Linked DNA regions of Drosophila melanogaster. The protein of the gene in region 2 interacts with the protein of the main gene of each other region in a pairwise test. Each region holds a gene or a part of one and is shown on either strand. Other genes may lie near its edges. The genes, in order: Sec63 and side-II.

Region 1 (6,341 bases), on a different chromosome or scaffold from region 2:
TAAAAAAACGCACATTTAGCCAAATAATACCAAAAATGTTTTGTAAATAGAAACAAGAACCCACTAATAACGAGTCTGGTGACGGGTAATGAACCCTAGTTTAGGCCTTTATGTGACTTATTTACAATTTTTACTCCTTTCCCAAAACAAACAACAAAAAACTCGCTGCTGTCTACAACAACAATGAAAGAAGTTACCAGCGACCACAACAACAACAGCAGCATCAGCTAAGAAGACTTCAGATTCCCAATCGGATCTCTTATTGGACAGCGAGCGGGCAGCGGCTGCGCAGTAGGCGTCGACGTCAGCGCAGACAGAGGCAGCGCCAACTTTGATTTAAATTATTTTTATGATTTCCACAAACTATTCGGGCTTGTTGCAATTCTCACTTGTTTTTGCTGATTTATTATTTTATGTGTCGATACTCTAACAATGATACAACCGTTTTTTATTTATTACAAAATTAATTTACTTTTGCGCTAAAATATATTCAAATTCTAAAAGCTGTAAGCAATTAGTTTATCCAAAGGCTTAGCAAAAATGTAATAAAAAAAAAAACTTAAAAATTGCTAAGGTTTAGGCGTGGTCAATAACTTGAATGGTTTAAATTAAAGTAATTGTGATGCTATTTATTTAATTGAATAAAATGTTAATCTAGAAATTCAGCAAATTGTGCAGTAAATTTATGTTAATTCAGCATTAAAGTGAGCGAAAGTAGCAACAAGCCCGTGGGTTTTTCTTTCTCAGTTTATAACACAACAAAAGAGTAGTAATATCAATAGACTTTTGTATTTACGTGTCTCACTTTTAGTTCTTGTATCCAAATAATTAAATATACAGTACATTATAATTATGTTTAGTACAGTACACGGTAAAATGAAGTTATAGTTATTTACGCACTAGTTCGGGGTCTTTTCCATTACAAAACTAGTAAAAATGCGAAGGAAGGGTTCGCATTGGTGTGCCTCCGCCACGCGCCACGCGAAACTCATTTACTAAAAGGAAAACAAAGAGGCTTCTCTTCCGTCCCAGTGAATTAGAGAGGAGGTTGAGGTTGATTGGGGTTCAGGACGTCTATCCATCCGTCCGTCCGTCCGTCGCACTGTCCATGTAGACAGTGGATTTATTCGCCGTCCTCCTCATCGGACGTATCTGTTGTATAGTCGCTCAGGTTCTCCTGCTGATCGGTGTGCTCCGGTTCCGATTCGCTCAGATCCCACTGAGGATGATCCGTCGGTGGTGCGGGAGCCTTCTGTACATCCAACTTCAGCTCCTGCTGCTGATCCATACCCAAATACGAGTCTGAAACAGAGGAAACATTGTGTGAGAATCCCCCCTTCGAATGCCAATGTACTATGCAATCCAAACTCTTTTAGAAACTCACCCGATCTCAGGCAAACGGTGAACGTGTAGACGCCCGGCCAGCGCGGCGCGGTAAACTTCAGCTGGATCTCCTCCTTCTCGACCAGATTGGTCACATGATAGGGCGCTGTGAGCAGGGTGCGCGACTTGCGATCGCATATGTAGGTCCACCAGTACTCCTGCTTCTCCTCGGGGAAGTAGGGGCAGTGGACGGTGTGCGACAGCCGAGACTTGCCCTCGAGACGCTCCCTCTTGTTAAGCTTAGCTTGCAGTCGCTCCCACTCCTCGTCATCGTCGTCGTCCAGCGAGGAGTTGTTCTTGCCCTTCTCCTCATCCTCGCTGCCACTGCCGGCAGCCGATTCCACATCGCTGCCATCCGCATTTCCAGCCTCCGATTCGGCATCGGAGTTACCCGCCGCCGCTTGATCCTCGGATGCCGTGATCGTAGCTGTTGTCGCAGCCTTGGCCGGCACCTTCTTCTGGTTCTTTTGGTTCTGGGCTGGTTTCTTACCACCCTTTCCCTTGCCACCCTTACGTGGCTTGGCCCAGGCAGAAGCCTTCTTGACCGGCGCAGCGGCAGCAGCCTCATCCTCATCACCGGCAGCCTCCTCATTGGTCTCATCCTTGATGCCCTGCTTCTCAGGCGCCTTTGTGTCACCGAATAGCGTCTTCATGTCCTTGCGCTCCAGCGTAACCGTGACCGTAACTATGGCCCCGGCGGTCACCACATTGGTGTTCTCATCGTCGATAACCTCGCAGCGAATGGAGAAGTCAATCAGCGGCATCTTGCCCAGCACTTTCATCGTGTTCTCGTACTCAAAGTCAGATAGGTTCTTCAGAAGCTGACGGCTCTCCTCCGGCTTGAGCTGGGCGAATTGCTGCAGGTTCTTGACGTGCCTCTTCTTGTTCATAAAGTACAGATGGTCCTCGGTGAGATGGGGCAGCTGCAGCAGTGGCGATTTGAACTCCCACAGGCCTTGGATAATCATCGGCGACATTTTCATGCAGTTCTCAATCGTTTCGATGCTGGGCAGGCGGGGCACACGTCGGGCATAGGCCATCATGACCAGCTGGTGAACGCAGGAGACCATTTCTTGCACCAAATACGGGCACTTCTTCACCACAAACTGGCGATCGCGCTCCAGAGTTTCCGGATTGAGGGGCATGCGACTGAGATGGGCATGCAGGATGGCGCGAGCCTTGATGGAGTACATGCGGCACAGCGGATGCTCCTTGCACTTCTCATTCAGATTGGGCAGCTGTCTAATCAGCTGTATTCGAAAAGGAAGTGTTATTAGTGAGCGAACAACGAATGGAAATTCCAATAAAATGCACTCACCGCCGGCACCTCGTCATTGTCCGACTGCCGCTCCTGGACCTGCGAGTTGTGTCGCTTGTCAAACTCCAAACTGGCTGCCAGAACCATAAGTGCCCGCTTGAGCAGCATGTGCGGTGTCTTGTGGATGAAGTAAAAGTACATCTGAGTGGTATCGAGCAGCACTTTGTCGCCACTGAAGCGGATGGAGCGGTACCACCAAACACCCACTGCCGAGGGCATGGCCACCATGAAGACCAGGCCGTACAGACCCAAAACCCAAACGCTATTCTCCTTCTCCACAATCCACGAGGGCAGGGCGATGCCAAAGGACATGGCACCCGGTCCATCCGGATTACCATACTTCTCGTAGTTCTCCTTTGCCACATCGTCGGTCAGCGCCTGGTACGCTTTGCTCAGCATCATGAAGGACTTCTCGTCACCCGTCTCCTTGTCGGGATGGAGCACCTTGGACAGCCGGTAGTAGGCCTTCTTGATCTCGGCCTGCGACGACGTCGGCGGCACATTCAGGATCTCGAAGGGATCGAAGCTGGCCATCTCGTAGTCGAACTGCGAGACGCGGTACGTGAGGAAGAGCAGTAGGGCCCACCCCAGCACTATGGTCAGCTTGATGGTCCATGACGTGAGAGCTCTGTACGGCTCGGCATTGGCCAAGATGGTCTTCTTTTTCTGGCAGTCGGCGCACTGACATTCCTCTTTAAGTTTGCTGTTATCTGCAAGTATGTGTACGAAAATTGGGTCAGTACGGGGATTATATAGGCTATTTTAAAATATTTGAAATTTATCATTTTCACTTAAGATGGCTAATAAAATGATTTAAAAAAAAAACGATCTTTACAGGTACCTGCTAACCTGATTACGATTAAAATTAGTTGAGGTCTGTCTACGCATATTGCATTTTTTTTTTTACCGGGAATGCCAGCGCTACAGAAATGAAAATCTCGCGAGAGGAAAATCGTGAGAGAGCAGCCGATTGGTCAGTGAGCGTGTGTGCAAAGTGCACAAGCACAGCATGATCGCGATAAGTCAAAGGTAACTTGCTCATAATCACTCCTCCTCCACCGATCACGATGATAGGTAAGTTATCACGATATTAGCGACGCATGGACGCTTGTGGAGCGTTGAGTGCGCTGTCCCAATTGGAAAACGAAGAGAGCTCGACTTGCGGTAATCGCAGCGCAGCTTTCACCCATACGAAGACGATGAGCTGACGTTGTTAGAATAACTTATTGGAACGTGTCCATTTAGTTTGTTGGTGGCGGCGGGAGGGTTAGAGCAGGAGAGCGTGGTAATCACATGTATGTCTATGCCTTCGCCTTACTGGCACTCACTTACACACATACACACGCGCACAGCTGCAGGTGGAAAATTAAAAAACAAGAGCGGAGAGAGTGCGATTTAAATCGGCTGGCAAGCGGCACTTACCTTGTTTCTTTTTACGTGGCCAATAGTAAATGGTGGTCGGTATCAATATTAGCGCCAAGAACGATAACACAAAGTAGTAGAACGTTCCGCCGCTCTCATCATACTGAAACTTTTGACCCGCCATCTCCGACAGCGACTATATGTATTTTGTATTTTGTCTGGCACTGCCTTTTGGCTCCGTTCCGTTCCGTTCCTTTCTCTGCCGCCGCTTTCCCCTGCACTTTTCCTCCGGCAGATCCAGCTGATGTTGCTGTCGCGTTGGAGTTATCGCTACAATCGCTGCGCCCCGTGGATTCTCGATCGACACGCGGCGATCTGCGAGATTCGAATGGGGCAGGAGCTGGTGTTGTTGCTGCTGCTGCTGCAAGATATCGCGAGATTGGCACGCCGCGAACTTAAAAAACTCTGTATTTACACCGACGCATGAGACTGACACGTAGGGTTGTTTGGCTCGTGCTGGAACCGATAGGCGTAGCTGGAGCGGAGCCGGTTCGATTGCACGGCTATCGATAGGCGGGAGGCAGCATTCATAGTTTAGGGTTGCCAAAGCTGGCAGTACTAAGTTTAGAATCTGATTTTTTAGGTCACCAAGTACTAAAAATGTTTGCAAGCAAAACTTTTGTCAGCAAGTTTTCAATGTAAATGTATATTTTTAAATGGATTTGCCTATATATATATATATATATATTTTTTTTTTTTATAATATAATATGTGCTCGCTAGAAATACAAAGCAAATATCTGATTAGCATGAGCTCATCGTCTCGTTACATTTTGGGTTTAGCACGCTAGCAGCTTTTTAAATTTTGCTCACCAAAGAAGGTGACGGTGGAATACGGGGTATTCATATAAAGGTATGATCCCTAGAGAGCTTTTCTGCCGTCTTGCCTTTTCGGTATTTCGAGTACGATCGTTCAATTAGTGTGCGCCTTAACTTAAAAGCTGGTGATTCCGTGGCACAACTCCATTAGCAGCACAACTGTGGCAACGGAAAGGTGACAACTTAGGGATGGCGAATAGATTAGGAAACCATGAAGTTACCCGCACCGCACGTGAAGTGCAGCAAAACTTTGCCGAGTCGCTCGGCTACGCGGAAGAGATAATCTGGGATCTGTAAGTACTGCTACTGCGCATTAGAATTTTGAATTCAAAGTATTTGGGGTAATGACGTAACCCCTTACAGGTTGTCCCATGAACAACATGACGTGCTAAGGGGCAAACTCTGTCAATTGATTCGTGATTCTCCGGAACCGAAAACTGCAACGGAAACTGAAAAAGACAGAAAAATCCGGCTGAAGGTCAACGCAGATAATGAGCGCGCCCGTCAGATCATTTTCGATTCCGTTTGGCAGCAACGTGAGTTGGACTTACAGATTGTATATAGTATAGTACATTTTTTCGCTGCCTTAACTGCGTACAATTGTTTTCCAGGAAAGTATACCAACCGTCAATCGCTGACGGCGATCATTTACGTAATGGTGGTAACTGACGAAACGGACGTCAATCGCGCCGAGGACGCCAGAGTCTTCAGCGTGCACCCAGTCTTTCGGGCCCGTCGATGCGTCGGTGAGTCATCCTTTGCATACGTATGCAATTTACAATATATTTCCTATCTATCTATCAATGGATCCATTTAATACTCAGTTGGCAGTAGTGGCACCAGCAGCGTCAGCTCGAATTGCTGCAATCTGTTTATCGACGAGCTTGGTCGGGTCTACCAAAACTGGGAGATGTATGTGACCACCAACGAGTTGCCTGCCGGAGTGATGGTGGCCCCAGAGAAGGGTATTTACCGCTTGGTCAGGGATCAAGTACGTCTGGATAAGTACACAACGCCGGCGGGCACGACCAACAGGAAGGTGCTGGGCTACCTGGATACTGGGTCGGCAGTCGGAGGATTTTTTGCTGCCTGTGTGCCCATTGCTGCCCTGCTAACGCTGCCCGTATCCGCTCCGCTGATGGGCGCAGCGGGAGTAGTAGGTTTGGCCAGTGCTGGATACGCCGCATCGCGGTCTGGCAGCAAGCTATTCGATCGCAGCCAACATGAGCAGTCTATCAATGTGACGGACCGCGAAGCGCGTGGTCACTGGTTGGGCGTGGCTGGTGGCACTGTGGGATTGGCAGCGGCTGGGGCCACCACAGTCTTGACAACGGCCACAAATGCTGGACGCGAGGTGGGAGCGGTGAGTCCTTAAACCCCCCCCCCCACGCAATCAACAA
Region 2 (4,951 bases):
AGTATTTGCTGAGTAATGCCAACGCTTTTATTTCACGCGAGCGGAAAACGCGAAGAGATTGAGATTCCTCTGCAACTTGGCCATGTCCTTTGCCTTTTGCTTAATACAAATGAAAATGGATGAGCTACTAAGCGTTGTCTTTGCTGCACTTGCAATTGTTGCATTCGAACGTTGCATTGCATTGCATTGACTGAACTGAACTGAACTGAACTGAATAAAATGAAATGAAAATGTTGCAACAAGCTAACACAACAACCAAGCCCGGACCGGCCCCGCCCCAATCCGCCTCATCTTTAGGAATTTCCCACCCAATTTTCCACCACTGGGAATGCACTTTGTTTCTATGACACGCCGTTGTCCCCTGCCTCTCGATTCACTTTCTTGCTGCGCATGTGTTTTGTCTTTGTTTTTATGCCATTTATTTATTTAAGTCAATTTCGTAGAGTGTGTTTGAACATTTCGCTGCAATTCATTTTCGGGTTTTATTTTCTGTCTGTCTCCTTCGCTTGCCATTTTTTACGCGTCTTGTATGAGTTTGTACGTATCTTGACGACAATTTTTACTCTGAGTGATTGCAGTTAAAAGCGATGCGACGAAGGTTGATAAAACTCTGGTGGAAGGAGGCCATGGCGCAAGAGGATGAGGTAACTCTGTAGTTAATTAGCTGGTAGTCCCTAGTTTTGATTGGATTTGATCTGTAATTGGTGACAGATGGAAAGGTAAAAGCTACAGTAAAAAAATCAAAATCAAATCTCGCTTTTCCTTTCAACTATTTGACAGAGTTCAATTATTCAGTATTCGCTTTGCTTTTTGATAGCTATTAATTCCTTGAAATATTTCCTCTTTACCTTGTTATTATTTAACTATCTTATTAATTTTAATTTCAGCATTATGTTAGTTCAACAACTTTTTTAAATTGAAAGAAGGCAACATTTTACACAATGTTCAACATTTTACACTACAAATTTACATAGTGGGTGGAGTCCAAGCTTAGCCAAGCATTGAACCACTTTTATACCAAAACTGAGGAAAGTATAAGAGTTTTACTCTTTGCTTTTTGCTCTGTGATTATTCGTTTTGAAACTTTGAATTCTGCTACTGCATGAAATTCTCATGTTTTCTTATCTCCAATTTTTAAATCTCACAATTACCGATCAAAATATAGGCGATTGATAATAGAGACAATAAGTACACTTATTATAGATAAAATATTTTACCTTATTGCATATTTCGGAAAAGGTTTTATTTAAAACTTACTAAAGTAAGTTAGTAATAAAGTAAATAGAGTGAACAGTAGATAAAAATAATAAATATTATTTCCATAGCTTATGTTGGTGAAAATAATATATAATTTTTTGAGCTTGCTTACAAGGCATTTTGTTATTTATTTATATCTGTGCTAAGGATATGAATCTCTTTTTAAGTGAGTTGAAAAAGATTAGCAAAAGCGTTTGATTGCATTTTTAATAATTTAATTTTGTTAACACAGAGAGCGAGCAGTTCATTCATTGCGTTCTCTTTACTCAGCTGCCTTGCGAGATGCTCGTGAGTTTCGCGCTCGTGTTATCCTTTGCTGCGCTCGGCTCTTATCCTGCAGCTCGGATCGGGCTCGTTCTCGGCGTTCGGCTACCGAGAAGCGGAGCTTCGGGCGGCCGACTTCCGGCGGGGGACGGTGGGGTCTGTGGGGCTTGTGGGGCTTATGGGGCTCTGAGTTGGCCAGGCCGATTCAGTTGAAGCTCAGCCGTCGGACTGTTTTGAACGTGGTTTTGCAGGGATGCTGACGCTCGCTGCGGCAGCCATCGAATTAGCGAAGTTATCGGGTCTCGTCCTGCACACACACTCACACCCACCCACAAACGCTGAGAATCGGGTGCGCTGTTTCGCGAATAAATATAATTCTCGTACCGCCAGAAAGGACCAATTATCGAAATCAATAAGAGCTAATTAGAATATACCTGCGCCAATTTGGTTAGGGTTTTGAACTGCATTGAGGTTTGCGTGCTGTTGGTTTTCCGAATAATAAAGGCAAATAAAATCATGCGACTCACTCAGCGAGCAGCTGATATTGTTGCACACACAAAAGGCTACACTACGGCTCCTCTTAGGCGATTTAATTGCCCTGTTCTCGTTTCGGGCATACATTAAAACCAGCAACTAAGTATTTGCAAGTGGCCCAGTGTCTTCGTTGTGTGTGTGTGTGTGTCTGTGTCCGTGTTGTTGTTGTTCGTGTGACCCGGTGTGTATATTCTCGTTACCGTGTGTTTGTTTGTGTTTTGATGGTCACGTGGTCAGTTCAAAGTTGGCTTGGCCCACTGCCTTCTTGTGCGTGACAAAAGTCAAGCAACAGTAGCAACAATAATATTAGCAACAAAAGCAGCAACAGAAGCAACAGCAGCAGCAGCACCACCACCACCAAACACAAATAGCAACAACTGCAATAAAGGATTATCCTGCGTGGGACAAATTTAAATTGCTCGCCAGGTAAGTTGGACGAGCTCACTTTTTGCTCTTTAAGAGTGACTTTTTGCCCAAAAGTTTACTAACTAAAGTTGAAATTGCCAACCGCCCTCGCAGTTGCTGCAGTTAGAGAAAAACGTCTCAGATAAATTAAGCTTCTGGTAACTTTCTAATTAATTAAGTGAGTTTGCCATGTTACATAATTCTTTTTACGTTCTTTTTTCAAGTGGTAAATGTATAATTAAAACAGAAATTATGTCTCGTTATAAAATTGTTCGTCTGGTTGGACTGATATAGTTAACAGTGACTGTGAGAAAACTAAAATAATTAGAAGTAAAATTAGCCTTTTTTATCTTTTTTTAATTTATATATTTTTCAAAAAATGTTGTAAGGTTTTGGTTATTTGCTACTGCAGATATGGCTGGGATTTTTTCAGTGTTGAAGCTGTGGAATTCGCGGTTTAAGCTCTTGTCTCGATGCGCCAGTTTTTCACTTTTGCCGCCCCTTCACTTTTCCCTCGTCGCTAGCAACTTATATTCCCCCGTGATACCCCTCTTTTCCGCTACGCCACTGGGTCGATTGCCGTAACTTAAAATGCGCCAACTGACTGCCAGAAAGTTGCCTAAAACTTTTTGCCTAAAGTTTATTTACTTGTTTTTTTTTTCCGTCTTGCTCATATTTTTTATTTCCATTCCTTTGTCTAGCAATGCAAAATAAAGTAGTGGTATAAAATGTATAAAAAGACTTTCCAAAAGATAAGTAAATGCTTCTGGTAATTTCTTGTAGAAATAAAATATCAACACTTTTTACCAATATTTGAATTTCACTTTGCAGAATAATTCATATGTAAATTTAATGTTGTTTTATTAAATAAAATAAAATGTTTATTTGGCTTTAAAGAAATAATGGAATGACTTCAAAAGTTTCAAGCCTCAGAACTTTCTTAATGTACTCTAGTAATGTGTAATTTAAACAGTGCTCGTTAAAAATGAGTGTTACAATTATGTCAAGATAATAAATAAAAATTAATTTTAATTAGATATTTCATTATATTTTCTGTCAAATAACGGAACACTGCCAAGAAGGGCAGTCACTGTCTTGGCCCTAAAGTTGCAGTTCCTCGAGCTCGGGCCAACTAAAGTTGTGAGCAGCCCACCTGAAGAGGACCCAAATTTCATGCCTTTCGCCTGTTTATTAAATTTGCATGCCGTCTTTCATTAGAGAAAAGTGACAACGTCAGGCCTTTCGCTTCACTCCTGTTCCAAGACGAAGTACTTGCTTACATTTGCTGCTTAGTTTCGGAGAAAATAAATAAATTAGTTCAGTAAATGGAAGTGAAAGAGTGAGAAATTACAAACTTCTGGCAAAGTTAATATTTAAGTCTTGCAGTGATTTTACGAATTTCCCTCTCGTTTTTGGACAATTAAAATATGCAAATGAGCCACCAGCAGAGCCAATGCAAAGCGTCTAAATGGACACGCACGGCTAACCCAAAAAACGGAGATAACGGTGAAGGGGTGTGCGTTTTTGACCGAAGCTCTGGTTGTCCTCTGCCACAGGCAGATACAAATGCCGAGATACAAATGTAGAGATACAAGTGCGTAGGCTGAATTTTTGATTGGCTATGCTGGCGTACTGTCCCCCTTAAAACATTTTTGACAATTTCGAAAAGCTTAATGGCTAATTGAGCTGCCAAGGGAGTGGGAAATGAAAAAGCCAGAGTGGAATGTCGCCTGCATTTGTTGGAGTACAAATTTATGGCGAAAAGTCAATTACGTGCAATGGGTCCAACGAAAATAGGAGAGGGGAAAAGATACATTTCCCAAAGGGATAAGCAGTTAGGGGTTAGTTTACATGCATATATATATAAATATTTGTATATATGGCTTATCAGGAGTACGTATAACATTATCCACGAGTGTGTGCTTACTTCAAAAAGGCATTAAGCCGAAACGTATAAACAAAAGTTAAGCATACCCAACCAAACTTCACCGTTGACGGGTTAATGTGATTTTAATGTACTTTTTACCCTCCCACTCCTTCAAACCCACCGCAGTTTTGCTTACAACTCAGTTAAAGTTTTATGCAATTTCATCATTCTTTTTTAATGCGTGCATTAAGAAAGTTTTTCTTTGCCTTTTGCACTAATGCAAATTGAAATGTAAATCTTCATTTGCCCTGAGTTTTGTTCTGTTGAATTTCGGTATTTCAAGCAAGCAAAAATTTTAAATTGAGCTATGGTACAAATGTCTTGAAAATTTTATTTTACTTTTTTGTTGTATTAAAATAAAGATATTTTAGAATATAGCCTCAAAATTAGTTTATTGCATTTTAAGTTTCAACGTAAACAAATTATGAGTTATTCGCAAAGAGTATAACTAGCAAACCAGCTCATGTAAGGAAAACATAATGAACAATTCCGGAAATTCCACTTCGCTTAGTAAGAAGTATGAGAATGCTTTGCGTGCGGTTGATTTTCACATAACAAAAGGTT

Evidence for each region.
Region 1: the proteins of side-II (region 2) and Sec63 interact in a two-hybrid assay, tested with the Drosophila melanogaster proteins (one large-scale study listed by BioGRID).

What each region holds. Positions count from the first base shown.
Region 1 is NT_037436.4:7,358,814-7,365,154, reverse strand, and holds Sec63 (secretory 63), read right to left. Parts: upstream 4,595-6,341; 5' UTR 4,248-4,594; coding exon 4,124-4,247; intron 3,517-4,123; exon of another isoform or gene 3,412-3,516; coding exon 2,702-3,411; exon of another isoform or gene 2,634-2,701; coding exon 1,385-2,633; intron 1,303-1,384; coding exon 1,124-1,302; 3' UTR 789-1,123; downstream 1-788. Other genes in the region: pst (pastrel), read left to right, coding at 5,131-5,234, 5,305-5,687, 5,766-6,304.
Region 2 is NT_033779.5:14,969,073-14,974,023, reverse strand, and holds the start of side-II (sidestep II), read left to right. Parts: upstream 1-1,723; 5' UTR 1,724-2,481; intron 2,482-4,951.